4 linked regions of the Arabidopsis thaliana genome follow. The protein of the gene in region 3 purifies or fractionates together with the protein of the main gene of each other region. This does not show direct contact. Each region holds a gene or a part of one and is shown on either strand. Other genes may lie near its edges. The genes, in order: AT3G11770, PDX1.2, GRF10 and EMB3147.

Region 1 (3,973 bases), on a different chromosome or scaffold from region 3:
CGATCACTTCTTTGTCCTCAAAGTTGAAAAAGAAGCTTACTATATCATTGACACACTTGGAGAAAGGCTTTACGAGGGTTGTGATCAAGCTTACGTTTTGAAATTCGACCATAAAACCGTCATCCACAAGATTCTTCACACAGAGGAAGCAGGATCCGAATCAGAACCTGAATCAGAGATTTTGAGCAGAGGGAAGGAGTCATGTAAAGAGTATATTAAGAATTTCTTGGCGGCCATACCAATTAGGGAGTTGCAAGAGGATATCAAGAAAGGATTAGCCTCAACCGCGCCTGTTCATCACCGTTTACAGATCGAGTTTCATTACACCACAAACGCAGAGATTACCAGTCTATAAAAGCCTAGGCAGAGTTGCTAACGTTTTGTTGAGTTTCTTGTAAGTTTTGTAACTAACTTGTGAATGTGATTTAGAGTTAAACCAGTTTGTATCTAACTATCCAAGGAATTTACATTTTTGCTCGTTCTATTTCGCTGTCTCTTTTTGGTTCATTATGTTTTTACAGCTTAAAATTTTGGCATTGTACCATAATCTCAAAATCTTCAGACAAAAAGACAAGGCCGGGCATGTTTTATTCAGACAGTATTGTTCACTCATCACAATACACAACATGAATCAATCAAGCGCAATCAAGCGCAATCTCACAAATCCATTTGATCAAGAAGGTTAACATAAGAGTTACATGAAGAACATTGCCACGAAAAATCACTGCTGCAATTGATCGTAGACATTGAAAATAAGCCAACCTTCAATGGCAGCAGCTTCAAGACGATCATTAGAGCTGGCTTCATCCCACTTGGACTGAATAGAATCAAGCCTACTCATGTCATACCAAAGAATCTTGTGAGCTAATTCTCTGGTTCCAAGGAACTCAACAATTGGAGTACCTCGGGCTTTCGCAGCTAGTTTCCCAATCTCCAACGAGCTTCGGATCACAATACCGTGGTTTTCTTTAAGCAAAGCGAGGTCTTCTTGAATCTGGACACCGACAAATGTGACAAATTTGGAAGCAAAGAAGCGATAAAGATCCTTGAGATTATCACAGAACGGGTTCGGCAGGCGGAGGAAGAGACAGAAGTTTTTAGTGCTAAACTTCACTGAGCATAGACGCCATTCGGACTTTGTGCTAACTGATTTGACATCCCAATACACATCAAAGACAATGGACCGGTTTCCATTCCAGACGGAATCTTCAAGGATCTTGGAAAGGTAAGGAGAGATATCGGTTGTTGATTCAACATCAATGGCTTTGGTCTGGACCCAAGAATTATCAACCATCATAAACCCTTGCCCATCGAATGAGGCCATTGTGGTCTGAAATCACTGGAAACATATTCACATTACACATTAGACACAACATCATATAGATCCATTAGCTTGGAGAGACACTCAGAATCAATACAATTCTAATAATCAGTGATCTGTTTTTGTTGTGAATGTGCTCAGCGATGAATCGAATGAAAAACTGATAAAGCAGCAAAGATTTTCAATATGTTTTCCAATTCACAAAGACATTGAAATATCGATTTTGAGTGTGTAGCAGCAATAGAATGACCGATTCAAGAAATGTGTAGACGCATTCAGAGCTAATTGGGTTTTTTGCCAGAACAACAAATTTACTCTAATCAGCGTTTGGGTTCTATGAACACAATACAAAGGTACGATTTTTATAAAGTGTGGATTAGACAGAGGAAAGTCCCCAAATAAGTTCATCGGATGGAACATGCTTTTGTTGATTTGGATTGAAGATTTATATATAAACATGAGAAAAATCTTTCAATCCAAAAAGACAGAAAAGAGGAACACGAACCTTGAGATTTCGGTGCGAGAAGGCTGATCTAGTAAACGGAGTCGGAAGAGAGAAAGACTGTTTCTGGGTTTGTTGTCGGAAGAAGAAGGAAAAGTACGCAAGTGAAAGTACGGTCCTGCCCATTGAAGGAATGACACGTGTCTTTACCTACGGGTATCGCACGTGCGAATGTCGCCATACGTGTTCCGTAGTAGAAGGATTTTAGAAGAGTCAATAGAACATTATTTTTTTCTTCACTTTGGTTGATTTTGGTTTAACATTTTGGAAAACTCACTCAACTCCTTGAGTATTGTTTTCGAAAATTTTCCTTGTATATTCATAGCATTTTGTTTCATATAAAACAATTAGTTATAGTCATATAAATAAATTGTTATTAAGCACTTGGAATCTTGGATTAAGTACAAAGAGCACATTTCACAAGACCATTCTCATTACACTCTATGCATCTCTTCCAGGTTTCGTGCTCTGCAACAACTCTCGACCTCCCATTGCATTTCGAACATATCAAAAATCTTTCGTTCTCGCACATCTCACACTGCCGCGACTTAGCTGATGAAAACACTTCTAGAAGCTTCTTGAGCTTCTCGTTTTCGTTAAGAGACACCACCTCGTCTGCTCCACCAATGTACTTACACTTTATGAAGAGCCTAGGAGGTGTAACTTGCTCCCCAAGCAATCTCCACATCTCTTCTTTGTACTCACAATCCATTGAAACATCTCTTTCTCGGAATGATGCCTTATGATTCTCTAGCAAGAATCTCACTCTTCTGCAATCTTCGAAAGTCTTTCTCACTCCTCGTAGACTTGTTGTGAAGAAGCAACAGAATCTTGCCCACCAGCTACACATTTCTCTTCAAAAGCCCACAAAAGCTCATCAAGATTCTGTTGAAGTCGTTTATCCTCAGAAACCTCAATTGTCGTTGGCGTAAGACACTCTTTCTCATCTATTTGATGAAAGATTGTGTGATCAAGATTGCTTTTGTGGAGAGCTATCGCCTGCTTCAAGTTCCCAAGAGATGTAATAAGCTTAAGTTTCTTCACCATTCTCTCCTTCATATCCATCATTGCTTCAACCTTCAACCTTTGATAAGAAGTTGTGAAAGAGGAGAGGCAAAAACCTAATCAAGATTGACAAACATGAGACTGGATAAGAGAAAAACGAAATGAGTACTCAACTGAACAAAAAAGCTACTTTGTGGGTTAGCTTTTCAAAAGTTTCTCCTTTGACGGGTCATTGTAGTACTAAAGAAGATAACCGATAAGCTAAATTAGGGTAACAAAAAACATTGAATTTACCCAACTTTAGCCCAACTTTGTCCAAATACATAGCAAAAGGGGAGGAATGTCCCTTTTAACATGTTGGTATATTGAAGCTATGAAAAAATTCATCTTTTCTGATAAGTCATTAATGGTTTACGTTTGGTTGAATGATGATGTATGTCACGTCTTTATAATTCCATGAACGTGGATGTAATGATGTACTATTGGTTAAAGTAGGCTCAGCTTTAAGGTTGCAACTAGAACTAACCACAGCTCTATAAAACCTAATCAATAATTCATTACTTTGTTTTTTCTATAAATGGGGGGATTCATGAATGGTCCAGAATGAGAATTTTCAAAGGGTTTTTGATCAACAATTATGTATAGCAGGAGAGTGTATTTTATACAAAATAAATGAGAGTGGTTCCATGGTATAGAACAAGATGGTGTATCCCGTCGAGCAAATCAGCTCTACATGTCGGCCACGGAGGATCCAAATCCAATATCAAATGAGAACTTGATGCAAGTTAACTCCTTCTTGCGTCCATCAAGCATCTTCATTTTTAGTGAGTATGAACCCTATGAGAAAGAAAAGGATTAGACTGGTCCTTCCTTAGATGCAGAAACACAAAACGAAAGTTTGGTATGACAAACATATAACTATAGAAACCATAACCAGCAAATCTTGACAACAAGAAGGTTAAACTTCTTCACTTTAGCCGCTTAATAGACATAATACTTCCACATGGAACTCATAATATGCTATCGAAACCAAGTTAAACCTCTTCTCAGTCTATTTCAGTTATCCAACTAAACAGATTCGATTACACTAGGCAATTTGTTATGACTGCAATAGAATTACATCAACTTCAAATGAGCATAATGCA
Region 2 (3,665 bases), on a different chromosome or scaffold from region 3:
TAGTTTGGACCTTTTTTCTAAAATTCAATTAAATTCATTAGAAAATCATACGGATTACATTTACTAATATGAACTTCTACAATGTTAAATTTACATACGTCAACTATATCTGATAATATCACTAAAAATTAAGTTATATTAGCTAAACCTCGATAATTAACGTTTTTGAATTCAAAAGTAATGGTAACTTTTTTGACCAAATTATTCTCACGCTTGTATAAGTAAAAGTTGTTTTTTAGAGTGATCATGATAGCATTAAAATTTGGATTGTCTGAATTCAGTGGCTTTGTTTTACTATTTTATAGTATTCTATTATAGAGCAGGACTATATATTATTAATTTTCTAGCTTTCAAGTTTGAATTTTGCAAAAGCAAATGTGTCGCGCCCTTTGTCGTTTGTGAGTGTTATTCGTTGTGGTCTCCCTGGATAGCAAAATAACAAATCAACATGAGATATGAATATATGATATGACTAAGACGAATAAGAGAGAAAGTGTCACCATATTTATTAATTATCTCTCTCAATGAGCAATCGAACAACTCCAAATCAAAACATAGAGAAGATCATATCATCAAGTTTATTTCGAAGCTTGAACATAAATGGTCTTTTCCATACATATGATATGGTCAGATCAGACGTCGTCATTCTCCATTCATTTTGGGATCGCATGGGTCAATATGAGCTGATATTTGTTTATATAAAATTCGCATGTCGTTTTCATACATCGCTTCATATGTGTGTTTAATCGATTTCCCACCATTTATTTACTCGTGTCTAAAACTCAACAACAAATCGTTGGTATTTTCAAATCTACACCCACATGCAAAACATCACCACATTTTAAAAAAAATGAATGTAAAATTTTACCAATCCAAAAAAAACGTTTTTACAACTACGTGTTACTTTGAGTTTGAAGTTTCGTAATTAAATCTCTTAGACAATGCTTCGATCCTTTGCCGTAGTTGCTTGACGTTGTGTGTATTCACCACTTTCGTAGCCCTTCTTCATAGACCTTGCTTCCTGATTTGATAGAAGACAAATCAGTAAACGATCACCACATTTTTTGATGTTAAACAAATTTTCTTTACCATATGTCATAAAACCAACTGCACCGTATAAATCTCTGGATCATGCCCGCGTACTCACATTACGTAAGAGATGAAAGTAAACTACATCCTCCTACAATCTTTTTGTTTCCCAAGCTGCCAAACAATCCAAAACCGTTGTAGTCATTTTTACCATCATCCATATATGGTGAATCGGTGATGACGGTTTAAAAAAGAACTTTTTTCTTCCATCTTTTTATTTTGCCGACTGATTTTGTCTCATCTAATATAATATCAAATCATACAAGATTCAGAACTTTATATGATTAAACATCCTCAGTGGTAGTGACAGTTGGGAAGAGTAAGATTTACGTACTCAATTATTTAATTGCTTCAAAACTGTAAAAATGTATAGAACCAACAACCTGAAACACGTGAGGAGCACTACAAACGACGTCGTCTAGTGTCGTGACAATTTATAACATGGTGGGCCACTAAGTAAGACAGTTGTTAGATGTACCACTCCCTTTATTTCGTAAATATTTCATGCTTTGTTTTCTTCTTTGACTCGTGTCCATCAAAACAATCATTTCAAAATACTTTGGACGAGAATTACACACGATTACGCCACGTGTTCTATTCACATCCAACGGCTCTTACAAAAATAAAGAAAAAGTCCGTCTACTTGGGTCATCAATCATCATCATGGAAGCCCACTTAGTTTCCTTTTTCTGCATACGACGCCGTTTTGCGATTCCACCCTAACCATTTCTCAGTGACGAACAGTCTCAGAAGTTTCTAGACCAAACCACACTCTTCTTCGTCTTCTCCGTTCTCTCTATATTTCTCCTCACCTTCAACGCAGCTTTCTCGTTCTCGTCTCAGATCGTGTTACTAACAAACACCGTTTCTCCGGCGAAAAGCTCTCTGTTACTAAAAACTCACAGAACCTAAAAATGGCGGATCAAGCTATGACGGATCAAGATCAAGGAGCTGTTACTCTCTACAGCGGCACAGCCATTACCGACGCGAAGAAAAACCATCCGTTCTCTGTTAAGGTCGGATTAGCTCAGGTACTTCGTGGCGGCGCCATTGTTGAAGTTTCCTCGGTTAACCAAGCTAAGCTCGCTGAATCCGCCGGCGCATGTTCTGTAATCGTCTCAGATCCGGTTCGATCTCGCGGCGGTGTTCGTCGTATGCCGGATCCGGTTCTCATCAAAGAGGTAAAACGAGCTGTGTCTGTACCTGTGATGGCACGAGCTCGCGTTGGTCATTTTGTTGAGGCTCAGATCTTGGAATCTCTTGCGGTTGATTACATTGACGAGAGCGAGATTATCTCTGTTGCGGATGATGATCATTTCATCAACAAACATAATTTCCGATCTCCGTTCATTTGTGGTTGCCGTGATACAGGAGAAGCTTTGAGGAGAATCAGAGAAGGTGCTGCTATGATTAGGATCCAAGGAGATTTAACCGCAACAGGTAACATTGCAGAGACTGTGAAGAACGTTAGGTCATTGATGGGTGAAGTTAGAGTCTTGAACAACATGGATGATGATGAGGTGTTCACGTTTGCTAAGAAGATTTCAGCACCGTATGATCTTGTGGCTCAGACTAAGCAGATGGGTAGGGTTCCGGTTGTTCAGTTTGCATCAGGTGGGATCACGACTCCTGCTGATGCAGCTTTGATGATGCAGCTAGGTTGTGATGGGGTTTTTGTGGGTTCTGAGGTTTTTGATGGTCCTGATCCGTTTAAGAAACTTAGGAGCATTGTTCAAGCTGTTCAACATTACAATGATCCTCATGTGTTGGCTGAGATGAGTTCTGGATTGGAGAATGCAATGGAGAGCTTAAATGTTCGTGGTGACAGGATTCAAGACTTTGGCCAAGGCAGTGTTTGATGAAAAGGTTCGAAGCTGCAAACTTTTTGGGACTTCTAAAGTCGTAATCTTTTTTGGTTTTGAGTCTCAAAATATCGGTTGTTTTTTGTTAATGCTGGTGCATATGATCCGTTTGGTTTAATCGAAACTTGCAACAACTAAAACCTCAATGAAAAGTTGCAGAATTTTTGAAGGAGGTACAAGTCTTAGATTTATATTTACTTCTACAACATCGCAACATGATTTTAATGGTTATAACTTATAAACTAGTCATGGTACATTGACAAACATATATAAGGTGATATAGGATTACATTGAGGCAGATTTAGTCTTATTTCTTCCCACTTTTCTTAAGTCCTGAGCCTCCGAATGATCCTTTTTGTGAAGCCTTGGCCCTGAGTTCTTTAAGTGCCTGTTTTCATCACATAAACAAGATCATCAACAGCAATCACCTTCTCCTTCAATGAATCAAAACTAAGATTGAGAAAACTAACCTTCTCTTCATCCTTCTTTTTCTGCATTAACTCCATATCGTGCTACATTTGAAACAGAGTAAAACCATTAAAACGTTGAGCTAAAGAAAAAGGCAAGGGTACAATTGCTATCATACCTCATCGTACTCCTTCTTACCAGACTTGGGCTGCTTCAAAGGCTTCAATTTCCCTCCTGAAATCATATTTCATTTTGCAGAAAATGTTGGATTCCATAAGGAACCATATAAATTCAAATGACAAGGTT
Region 3 (4,880 bases):
TTTGTTGTGCTAGCAACAACTCACCTAAAGAATTTAGAAGTTGGGCCAAGTGAATACTTGAATTGATCATTTGTAGCTCAAAATTGAAGTTTTCGATAGATGTATGAAATTATTATTCATTGGACATATAAAAATATTAAAGAAAACACTACAAAATCTCTCGAGGGAAGTGGTCAATTCGTGACAAAAATGTTATTTAGATGGTTGACAAAAAGATATCTGATTCTATAAGGATTAACTGGTTCACAGTTTGATTAACATGTTTTAGACTTTGAGGGCTCTCGATTGGATTAGACACAATGAGTGTTGGTACGAGTTAGAGAGTTTGTGATAGCATTTGGTTACAATTACAACTTACAAGAGTCCCATATTTAGAGCATAGAGATCCTTTTTGAGGGTCATGTTGGGAGAACCAAACCATTATTATGTCACACACTTACGGACCAAACCACCGTAGAGAAACACACTTGAGGATGATTCCTTGGCCACAAAGAGGGCAAACATCCACAAATTGAAAAGTTGTGAAGTTTGGGATCACTTATGCAAATTATTAAGAGCCTCTTGAATTCAGACTTTCATGATTTTTGCAAGGAGTTATTAGTTATTACAAACTTCGAATAAAGCTTTGTCTGTTTTGGTTTTTAATTTTGAGACCATGATACGCCTAATATTCTGATAAACAAAAACCCAAATCATGCCTGCTGGCTCAATTCAACAACAAAAGAAGCAAACTAAGCGTAAAACAGAATTCAACCACATCATAAGAGGGTTGAAGATACGCAACGCAGTGTTGTGTTGTGAAAAGTTCAAGAATCTGGAAAACACCATCAAGAAAGACATAGATTAAAAATTACACATTCGAGTAACAAACAACGACACTTACTGTCTTCACTTCAAGATTCAGGATGCAGCAAGAGTCGTTTCTCTTCTCACAGAGGATTTAGTTCTGCAATGATTCAGTAATTCCATGAGTGGTCTAATTGTCAATGCAAAATGGAAAAATCAGTAAGTAGCTTAACTTATAACAAAACTGGCTTTTCATACCTCATCTTGAGGCTCATCAGCACCTTTGGTTCTCTCATCTAAGAGGGGAAAAAAAAAAGGTGAGTGAAAAAGCTTTGGAAGAGAAACAAGAAACTAGTAATGTTTTCTGCTACAAACATATAACTTTTACAAGATTAGCTAGAATCCAATAACTATGAGATGGTAGATTGGTATGTTTTTTGTTGAGGCTTTCAAAACTAAAATGAAAGATCTACATAGCAATACATGCATAAAGGACGGTTTAATTCAAATATAGACAGATGGTTAATGGTTACGAGTTCCCAAACATCAACATTTTTACTCCAAGGTAACGCTCTTAACAGCTCATTTGATTCTAAGGAAACCATTTGATCATGAGATAGGGAAACAAAAGAAAATAAGAATACCTCCTTCCTCATTAAGGTCTGAAGTCCACAAGGTGAGATTGTCTCTAAGTAGCTGCATAATAAGAGTGCTGTCTTTGTATGATTCCTCGTTGAGGCTGTCAAGTTCAGCAATTGCATCATCGAATGCTTGCTTAGCCAATTGGCATGCGCTGTACAATACATAGTTTCATAGTGTCAGAAAATGACCACAGATTCCACTATTATGTTCAATCCAAAATACAAAAACAAACCTTTCGGGAGAGTTCAAGATCTCATAGTAGAAAACTGAAAAGTTCAACGCCAAGCCAAGTCTAACTGGATGTGTGGGTGCCAAACCATTCTCTGCAGCAGCAACAGCAGCCTACATTCCCAGTACGAAAAAAGCAAGACTTGTCTTAGGTTATTCCCAGCTCAAATATAAGAGGGGTGGCACAAAAATAAGAAAACAAATAAACATGATCAAAGGACCTTATATGCTTCAAGAGACTGATCTGCAGCTTCCTTGCGTTCAGCACCAGAACTGAACTCCGCAAGATAGCGATAGTAATCTCCTTTCCTACATAGAAAGAAAAAAAAACACGTAAAGTCAAAACAGTGAAACAAGGAAAAGTTCATGAATCATCATCATTTCAGGAAGAACACAAGCAAGAGTGGTAGCTATGTAATAACTTAAACATTTAACTTTAGTCAAACGGAAATGATCTCATTCTTAGTCACACAAATATCACATGAATGGTCAGAGTATAATAAAGATGACACTCACATTTTGTAGAAAAAGACAGTTGACTCCACAGCGTTAGACGATGGAATGAGATGCTTATCAATGACAGACAAGATGTCATTACAAACTTTAGCAAGCTCATCTTCAACTCTCTTACGATAATTCTTAAGCCTCTTGACATTTTCATCATTTCCCTTGGACTCTTCCTTCTGCTCAATGGAAGATAGTATTCTCCATGATGCTCTCCTTGCACCAATCACATTCTTGTACCCTACAGATACAAGATTCCTCTCTTCCACAGTTAGCTCCACATCAAGCTGAGCAACTTTCTTCATCGCCTCCACCATTTCTGCATCATCACCAACAAAAAAAAAATATCCGATCTTTGAATTTGCTTCCAAAAACGTAGATCTATTTCATTTTCATGCTAAGAGATTCGACAACAGTAAGTATAAAATTATATCAAGATAAGATCAAGAGTGATCAGAGTATCTAAACAACATTAAACAAGAAATTACTTAAAGGTCGCATCTAAAAGTCCAGATCAAGTAACAGCCCAGAAACATACAAATCGGTAAAGGGCTACAAAGAAAATCTATGGAAATGTAAAAACAATTTCGATCGGAGCAATAAAAGATCGGATTTTTTCAGAAACATGAACAAATCATTTTCTGAATAGAGATCCAGAAATCGGAAAATACCATCGTATCTTTCGGTTTGCTCGGAGAGCTTAGCCAAGTAAACCTGCTTTTCCCTCTCATTCTCCATAGTTTTTTCTTCTTCTTCTTCTTCTTCTTCCTTCTCTGTCTCTCTGAAGTCTGAATCAAAAATGGATGCTTTGATTTGATTGATTTCGAGATTAGTAGTAACCCTAGGATCCTCTCATAGTGGTATTATATCAGCCGTTGGATCTACTTTTTTTAGTCAACAAAACTCAGAAACATAAGTTTTATAAATTATAAAGTAGCCACAAAGGTTTAGTTTTTACACAGAAAGAACCTAAAACTAATATATGTTTCTTATTAAACCCCGATCTAGTCAATAACGTAAAAGGTTAACGACGCTGACCGTGATAAACGGAGAAAGACATGTCCTCTTGTCCATTATTTTAAGGGTTTGTGTTCTTTTCTATATTATATAACACAATCCAAATCATAGATTTTTTTTATGCCAATCCAAATCCAAATCCAAATCAATCACAGATTGAAACTCAAAGAAATTTTCTTTTGAAGAAAAAATTTGGTTTCTGTCAAATGTTTTGTACATGGCCCTTTCAAATTCTATATCCTGTAGTTAGCTACAACACGCTTTTAGTTTGCATAAAATATAAAATCTGAACTAGAATGAGAAAACAATTTGTTCCAGGTAAAAGAAATGGTCACTGAACTCGGTTGATTTGTGAGCTGAAATACTGTTGAAGCTCATTAGTCGTTGTCGGTAGGCTTTTCGTCATTTCTGAATTCGATAGAGTCGCCAAATTCTCCATGTTACCATCTCTTTTCTTCATATCATCGTCGTTGTCCTCAACTCCATTCAGAAAATCTGCATTATCATCTTTCTGCATCAGACTGGTTTTCACTCGATCTGCTTCATTGCCATTCTCTACGGCTTTTGCTTCCTCAAACACCTCACTGCTGGTTCTTCCACTCTCAAGGTACTGCATTGTCTCAGAGTCCATGGAATCAGAGTTACCTAGTAAAGATTCGTTAGCTATCACTGGTTGTTGTCCTAGAGTCTTGTTGTCAGATTGCAAGTAATAATGTTGGTTCTTGCTTGGGGATTCAAGAAGTGATCGTAGATATGTGGAGACTTCCTTGCAGGTTTCAAACTGTTGCCCATCAGGGCTATATAATCAAAAACAAAAGAGAAAATTTTCAGAATCCTGAACTAAAAGTGATAACAACAGCTAGAATCCTAGAACGGCAGAGAGTACACAAACGAACTATAAGCAATTTCAGTAGCAGCCCTTAATTCATGTAAACATCTTTTATCATGTTCAAGAAGATGGAGAAACAAACAAGAGGGACAATCAAAAGTCTAGCAGCAGAAACTAAAACATCATATACCAAATCCTATAAAACTATATCTTCAATAGTAACAAAGTGTTAGTTTTGCTATAACCAATTCCACAGCCAATACTAGGTCTATTTTATAATCCAACTAGAAACAGAACCAGTGAAGAACATAAACATTATTATACCTTATGTATCTGCGACAAGCCAGCAACAAATTGCTACCTTTCCTTTTGATGTAGAGCATAAGTCTCCATCCTCTAGGCAAGTATCCTCCATAATCACAAGCATTCACAACTTTCTTCTTCTTCCCTATATTCACCCATTCACCATTCAATTGTTCCAAGAAACCTAAGATCTCTTCCTTTGTCTTCAACCCAACGGTGATCCTCCTCAGCTCCTCTTCGTATGGATCCTCTGAAACACTAGCCAATGCAGAGAGATCCACAATTGTACCTTCTCTGTTCTCCAAGTTCACTACTAACTCTTCCTTATCAAACGCAGAAATATTCACAATTGCACTGTCTCTCTTCTCTAGGTTCATTATCTCTTCCTTATTCTTTGGAGGACGACCTCTCTTTCTCTTCACTGAATTTGAATCCAGGGAGATTCCTGAACTACCAACTCTACTCACCATTCCCAAATTGCTACTAGTTTTATCTACAAACACATACGTAGATGCTTCACCAGTTAAATCCAAAACCTCATTCTCTTCGCTAGGGTTCCGAATCTTCCTCG
Region 4 (5,194 bases), on a different chromosome or scaffold from region 3:
AACTTCCACCGGTTAGTAACGTTCATGTTTGTCACTGTCCATTTTATGAACTTCTCATTGGAACTGTAACTATATTCCTGAAAGTCATAAGAGAAAGATCAAGTACTTAATTTACAATAGATGATACAACACATATACATGTTGAAACATTTGAAAAACAAGAATTTTGACATGTATAAACTGATTCATCTTGTATCATTAGGAACTGGGTAAAATCACCATCCAATAAATACCCGCTAAGATCAAAACCATAAACCATGATTAGCATAGCATAAAACCTTCAACCAGATCACTCGACTTCAAATAACATACAATTAACTAAACTTACGTAGTTGAAACAACAAGCACCAGTGGTCTAGTGGTAGAATAGTACCCTGCCACGGTACAGACCCGGGTTCGATTCCCGGCTGGTGCATCTAGTAGCATGTGAGCAGTGATGAAAATATCTTGAGCTGTGGTGATGAATCTTCGGATATGATATTAACCTCGCTATAATCTGAGCTCACTCATTTCTTTTACTTTTTTTTTTGATTGAGCAGCAAAACCCAAAAACTAGTAACACAAATTTGAGATTTTGTCACTTCACTTCAACTGAAACTAAAAAGATATCTCAATACATATATCCTGTAAAGTGTCACATAAATATTCCATACAAAACTTTGAATTCCAAACTATTGAAGCACTAGAGAGATCCACAGACATACGTTGTAAATTTACTTATTATCAATGATTCTCAACTCAAATACATGTGAACAAAAAGCTAGCAATACTCTCAAGCACTGATGTTTTCGAAACTTGCGCTTTTATCTACTCTCTTGAATATCCCTGCAATTACCTGGTGTTTGAATGCCACAAAACACACAACTTAGAAGAAGAAGAAGAAACCTCCATCTATAATGAGTTTACGAAGATAGAAAAATACCTTTCCAGGTCCCAATTCGTAGCTGCTTTTAAGTCCTTTGGATAAGAGAGTCTTTACTGTTGTCTCCCATTGGACTGGAGATGTCACCTGTAGTCAACATTTGCATCTTTTTTTTATATAGCGTCGCCAAAAGAGAAATAATTCACATAGTTCTCTGAGTATTGATTTATTACCTGGCGTGCAAGTATCTTCTTGATCGTGTCTGGATCTGCATGAGGCTGTGCATCGACATTCGAGATCACTGGGATCCTCGGACTTCTGATCTCTGTGGCTGCCAATGCAGCTTCTAATCTCGAGACTGCTGGTTCCATGAAACTAGTGTGGAAAGCACCTGCAACAGCTAGACGCACCTACAGAACCAACCGCCAACAATCATGTTTCTGATAGCATCGAGGAAGATTTCATAACATAAATGGAATTAGAGAGAGAGGATACCGTCATTCGTGCTTTGAATGACTTAGCTTTGGCTTCAACAACTTCGATTCCTTTAAGACCTCCAGATACTGCGTAATTACCCTGTAACAGTATACCACATAAAGGAATGTGAAAATGATTTTATACAAGTCTAGAATGCAAAAGATTCATGGAAGACATATATACCGGACATAAGTAATTTGCGATCTGAACTTTGTCAGCTTCATCTACTTCTTGATTTGCTGCATCACACAACTGCTGAACCTTTTCTGAGTCCAACCCTATGATACTAACCATGGCACTCTTAGCAGCATCTGCAGCAGCCTGAAGAAAGTCATTTTATCAAAAACTAAAAGTCAATGCAGCTGTTCGAATGGTATATAAGATCACTACAAAGTTCAGCCGTCACAACATCAACCTAAACTTGACATAGTCAATGAAGGATATACAGAGCAGAGTTCAATCTTACCTGCATAGCTTCTCCTCTAAGTTTTACAAGCTTCAGCCCGTCCTCGAAGCTTGAGAATAAAAACAGTAACAGAGAAAAGAACAAAAGTAAGTTAGGTGATGATGCACATAGGTAAAAGGGAACAAAGTGACATACTTTCTTACAATGATATTTGAAAATCCGAGATTTGATACCTCTATCATTCAGTTAAGGATATTGATTCAGATGTTAACTAACCTGAAGGCTCCAGCAAAAGCCAGAGCAGTATACTCTCCCAAACTGAGACCGCAAGTCACATCAACCGAGTTAATTATTTGTTCTCCGCCTTCACGAACACGGAGCAATTCAACTGCTGCTAAACTTGTGACATAAATAGCAGGCTGAGAAAATGATAGACCAATAACTTAGACATCATACCAAAATGTACATACTAAAAGGAAACATCACATAAAAATTAAGTTTTGCTAGAGTTAGGTGACAACAGACAAGAAAGAAGATCATAAATCTGAAGTTGTCCCTAACCAAAAGTTGCAAAGATACCTGGCTTATGACCGTAGAATCAAGCTTCTCTTTTGGTCCATTAACACAAATATCCAAAAGATCATACCTGCAGAAAGCCACCATATAGTTTATTCATTCACAAAAACAAACAAAAAGGTTTCAACTTTAAACAAAGGAACATACCCTAAGATATCATTAGCTTTCTTATACAACTCTCCAGCTGCTCCAACACTCTGAGACTCTTTTCCCATTCCTACTGCTTGAGCTCCCTGAGACATAGCAAATTCATCTAAACTTTGTCACATTTGATCTAAAAATTGAAACGAGTTCTGAGAGATTACAAGCAAAGAATATGACGTTATGATGAAGACCCTACATTGTAATTAAAATCACATCAATCAGATCAAAATTAGCAAACTTTTCAATCTGGGCAATTCCAAATTTCCTAAATTGATACGAAATCAATCAGAGTCCACATTTTCATTGTTCAGATTGATAACATGTAATCGGAAGTTACCTGACCGGGAAAGAGAAAAGCAGAGGTGGGTTTGTAATCAGCGAACAGAGAATCGTGAACAGTAGTACTCTGAGATCCAGCAGAGACGCTCATAGAAATCCTAGATCGGCTGAGATTCTTGGCGGCGAAGCCAAAGGAGGCATTTTTAGAGGAGGAGAGATTGTTGAGAGATATGGAAGGGAGGAGCAAGGAAGAGGAGGCGGTGGTGGCCATGGCGGAGAGAGAAGTGCGCCGGATAAGAGAATGAGACGGAGATGTGAGTAAGATAGTACGGTGAAGCAGTGAACGCATTCAGAGAAGTAAACAGTAGTAATCCTTTTTAAAAAAGCTTTAGCGGAGTTAACGAAGATGATGGTAGCTGGGGGAAGTTTTTGAAGAAAGGAGAGAAACGGACACGTGTCCAAATTTGATTGGATGTAAAGCTTAACAAAAGAAACAAAAAAATTCGTGTGTTCAAGACTACGTTAAATTCCATTTTGTGGTCAATCATCCAAAGATTAATGTTGTATTTGTGTTATTTTGGTAAAGAGATGCGATAAAATGATGAGGAAATAGAAGAAATACGAAAAAATCAGAACAAAAAAAAACTCAGGTTTGACGACGGCGATTAGGTTTTGTAGGAAAAGCAGTTGACTTTGTACGTGAAATTACAGATGTACCCCTCGTTTTAACTAAAATGCATAATATTGTCCACTTGTAGGTATCGAACTTATCACTTTGGCTACCAAAAACAACCTTCCAGACCACAATGCTACATCAAATTTTAAAAATATGACTGATTAAAAGTTATATATACTATATATTTATATAAACTATAGCATATTTGCCAATTTGATTTAACGCCTAGTCGACGATTAATCCGAAATAGGCGGTACTCTAGCACCTAAGTACGTACTGCATGACTTTTATAACATTGCAGATGGTGATGACTATCACCGGAAGATAAACTCAATCGGAGAATAGAAAATATGATTTGGAGAGTAATCGTTGACGGATTCTCCAAATTAGGTATGAATCAAGTCATTTTCTCTTGTATATCGTGACTAAATGTTGTAACAATCAACAGAACAACTGATCTTTATTCCGTTTTTTTTCATATCTATTTTATAATATTTCAAATTAATGTATGTTTAATATTTTATACTTTGTAATAATTATTAAATTGTATGAAATAAAATAATTTTATATTAATATTGTTTTTCCAGAGAATTCTTCTAAAAGAACCTACCATTGGACTATAAAAAACCAAAAAAAAGAAAAAAGCTCTTTTGTTAATTTTTTTGAAATTTAATCATAAAAAAATAGAGAGAACCCTTCGACAGATTCTCTCCATTGGAGGTGCTTTTAGATATAAAAAAAAAAATGTTGGATTATGGAAATTATGTATAATTGTGTATTTTATTTCATTGCGGAGAAGATTGAAGTTTAAACTAAGGTCTAGGGTTGTGCAAGAAAGAATACACAATTGTGTACACGTTTCGTGTGAGGTAAAAGATATCGTAAATCAATTATTTGCGACGTTGATTGCAAAATCGAGACCAATAAAGAGTATCCCAAAAATGTTTACCATACCAAATCCTATTTCTAACCATTTTAGTGTAAATATTTTCGCATGAATTCAACTTGGGATCAGTAAATCTTAGTGTCGATTGGAATGGATACCACTCATGTAAGTCTATCAACCTTTTGTTCCAATAGATTATGAATTTTTTTTGTGATGTTTGGATCACTTATGTCATGACGTTTGAATTATTAAGTATCCAGAGGACAATTTTGTTTATTAGGATTCCACAACGAAGAATGTATTTTTTGTACTTTTACATTTAGGGTTATCCAATTTATAACAATCGATCAAAACTATCTCATTAGATTCTATTATAGTTCAAAATGGTACAACTACATTCCATCAGGATGACCAACAGACCACCAAACTTACAATCTTATGGCAGTTGTAGTCAATTTACTTATGTCGAGTTATAGGCATTGACGGCGAATTGTTTTGAGAATTTTGGAGAAAGTTGACCAAAAAAAATCATCTTTTTGTGGAAGAAGTTATACAGAAATGTAATTCATGGATCACTATTTTTTTTTTTCAGTTTAATGGTAAATTTTGATCAACGGAATCGCAACCACACTATTTACGTTCTTTTTCAAGAATTATTTTCTCGTAAAGATGGCCAATTAAAGATCGATATGATGCTATTTTTGCAAGAAAAGTTTATGTATGATAATGTAATTAAAAGTATCTTGTGGGTTCATATTAAGTTAATAACTAATAAAGTTGTTTGGGAAAGTCAGCTAGAAAAAGAAGATTAACTAACACAGCTTTTATTTGGTAAATTTTTAATCGGAAAAATGAAAACACTCACTCTATTACGAGGAAAATAACAAA

The links.
Region 1: the proteins of GRF10 (region 3) and AT3G11770 purify together in Arabidopsis thaliana (affinity purification with mass spectrometry, with the first as the bait; one study listed by BioGRID). This does not show direct contact.
Region 2: the proteins of GRF10 (region 3) and PDX1.2 purify together in Arabidopsis thaliana (affinity purification with mass spectrometry, with the first as the bait; one study listed by BioGRID). This does not show direct contact.
Region 4: the proteins of GRF10 (region 3) and EMB3147 purify together in Arabidopsis thaliana (affinity purification with mass spectrometry, with the first as the bait; one study listed by BioGRID). This does not show direct contact.

The regions. Positions count from the first base shown.
Region 1 is NC_003074.8:3,720,769-3,724,741, forward strand, and holds AT3G11770 (Polynucleotidyl transferase, ribonuclease H-like superfamily protein), read right to left. Parts: upstream 1,974-3,973; 5' UTR 1,827-1,973; intron 1,340-1,826; 5' UTR 1,325-1,339; coding exon 722-1,324; 3' UTR 528-721; downstream 1-527. Other genes in the region: AT3G11760 (structural maintenance of chromosomes flexible hinge domain protein), read left to right, coding at 1-355; AT3G11773 (Thioredoxin superfamily protein), read right to left, coding at 2,221-2,562, 2,631-2,891; AT3G11780 (MD-2-related lipid recognition domain-containing protein / ML domain-containing protein), read right to left, coding at 3,558-3,665, 3,826-3,879. UniProt on the Arabidopsis thaliana protein: 3'-to-5' exoribonuclease (RNase) specifically targeting single-stranded RNAs. Triggers miRNA accumulation in RNA-induced silencing complex (RISC), composed of miRNAs and AGO proteins, by degrading uridylated cleavage fragments.
Region 2 is NC_003074.8:5,443,404-5,447,068, reverse strand, and holds PDX1.2 (pyridoxine biosynthesis 1.2), read left to right. Parts: upstream 1-1,739; 5' UTR 1,740-2,003; coding exon 2,004-2,948; 3' UTR 2,949-3,119; downstream 3,120-3,665. Other genes in the region: AT3G16040 (Translation machinery associated TMA7), read right to left, coding at 3,259-3,339, 3,422-3,463, 3,538-3,593. UniProt on the Arabidopsis thaliana protein: The protein has no function in the formation of pyridoxal 5'-phosphate.
Region 3 is NC_003070.9:7,878,206-7,883,085, forward strand, and holds GRF10 (general regulatory factor 10), read right to left. Parts: upstream 3,191-4,880; 5' UTR 2,899-3,190; coding exon 2,832-2,898; intron 2,480-2,831; coding exon 2,173-2,479; intron 1,966-2,172; coding exon 1,878-1,965; intron 1,771-1,877; coding exon 1,661-1,770; intron 1,580-1,660; coding exon 1,431-1,579; coding exon of another isoform or gene 1,396-1,430; exon of another isoform or gene 1,083-1,395; coding exon 1,045-1,082; coding exon of another isoform or gene 1,039-1,044; exon of another isoform or gene 1,020-1,038; intron 947-1,019; coding exon 941-946; 3' UTR 554-940; downstream 1-553. Other genes in the region: MBD8 (methyl-CPG-binding domain 8), read right to left, coding at 3,509-3,974, 4,331-4,880. UniProt on the Arabidopsis thaliana protein: Is associated with a DNA binding complex that binds to the G box, a well-characterized cis-acting DNA regulatory element found in plant genes.
Region 4 is NC_003071.7:12,882,390-12,887,583, forward strand, and holds EMB3147 (EMBRYO DEFECTIVE 3147), read right to left. Parts: upstream 3,388-5,194; 5' UTR 3,094-3,387; coding exon 2,803-3,093; intron 2,555-2,802; coding exon 2,469-2,554; intron 2,392-2,468; coding exon 2,325-2,391; intron 2,165-2,324; coding exon 2,022-2,164; intron 1,855-2,021; coding exon 1,806-1,854; intron 1,661-1,805; coding exon 1,523-1,660; intron 1,439-1,522; coding exon 1,358-1,438; intron 1,273-1,357; coding exon 1,096-1,272; intron 1,029-1,095; coding exon of another isoform or gene 1,010-1,028; coding exon 923-1,009; intron 836-922; coding exon 773-835; 3' UTR 559-772; downstream 1-558.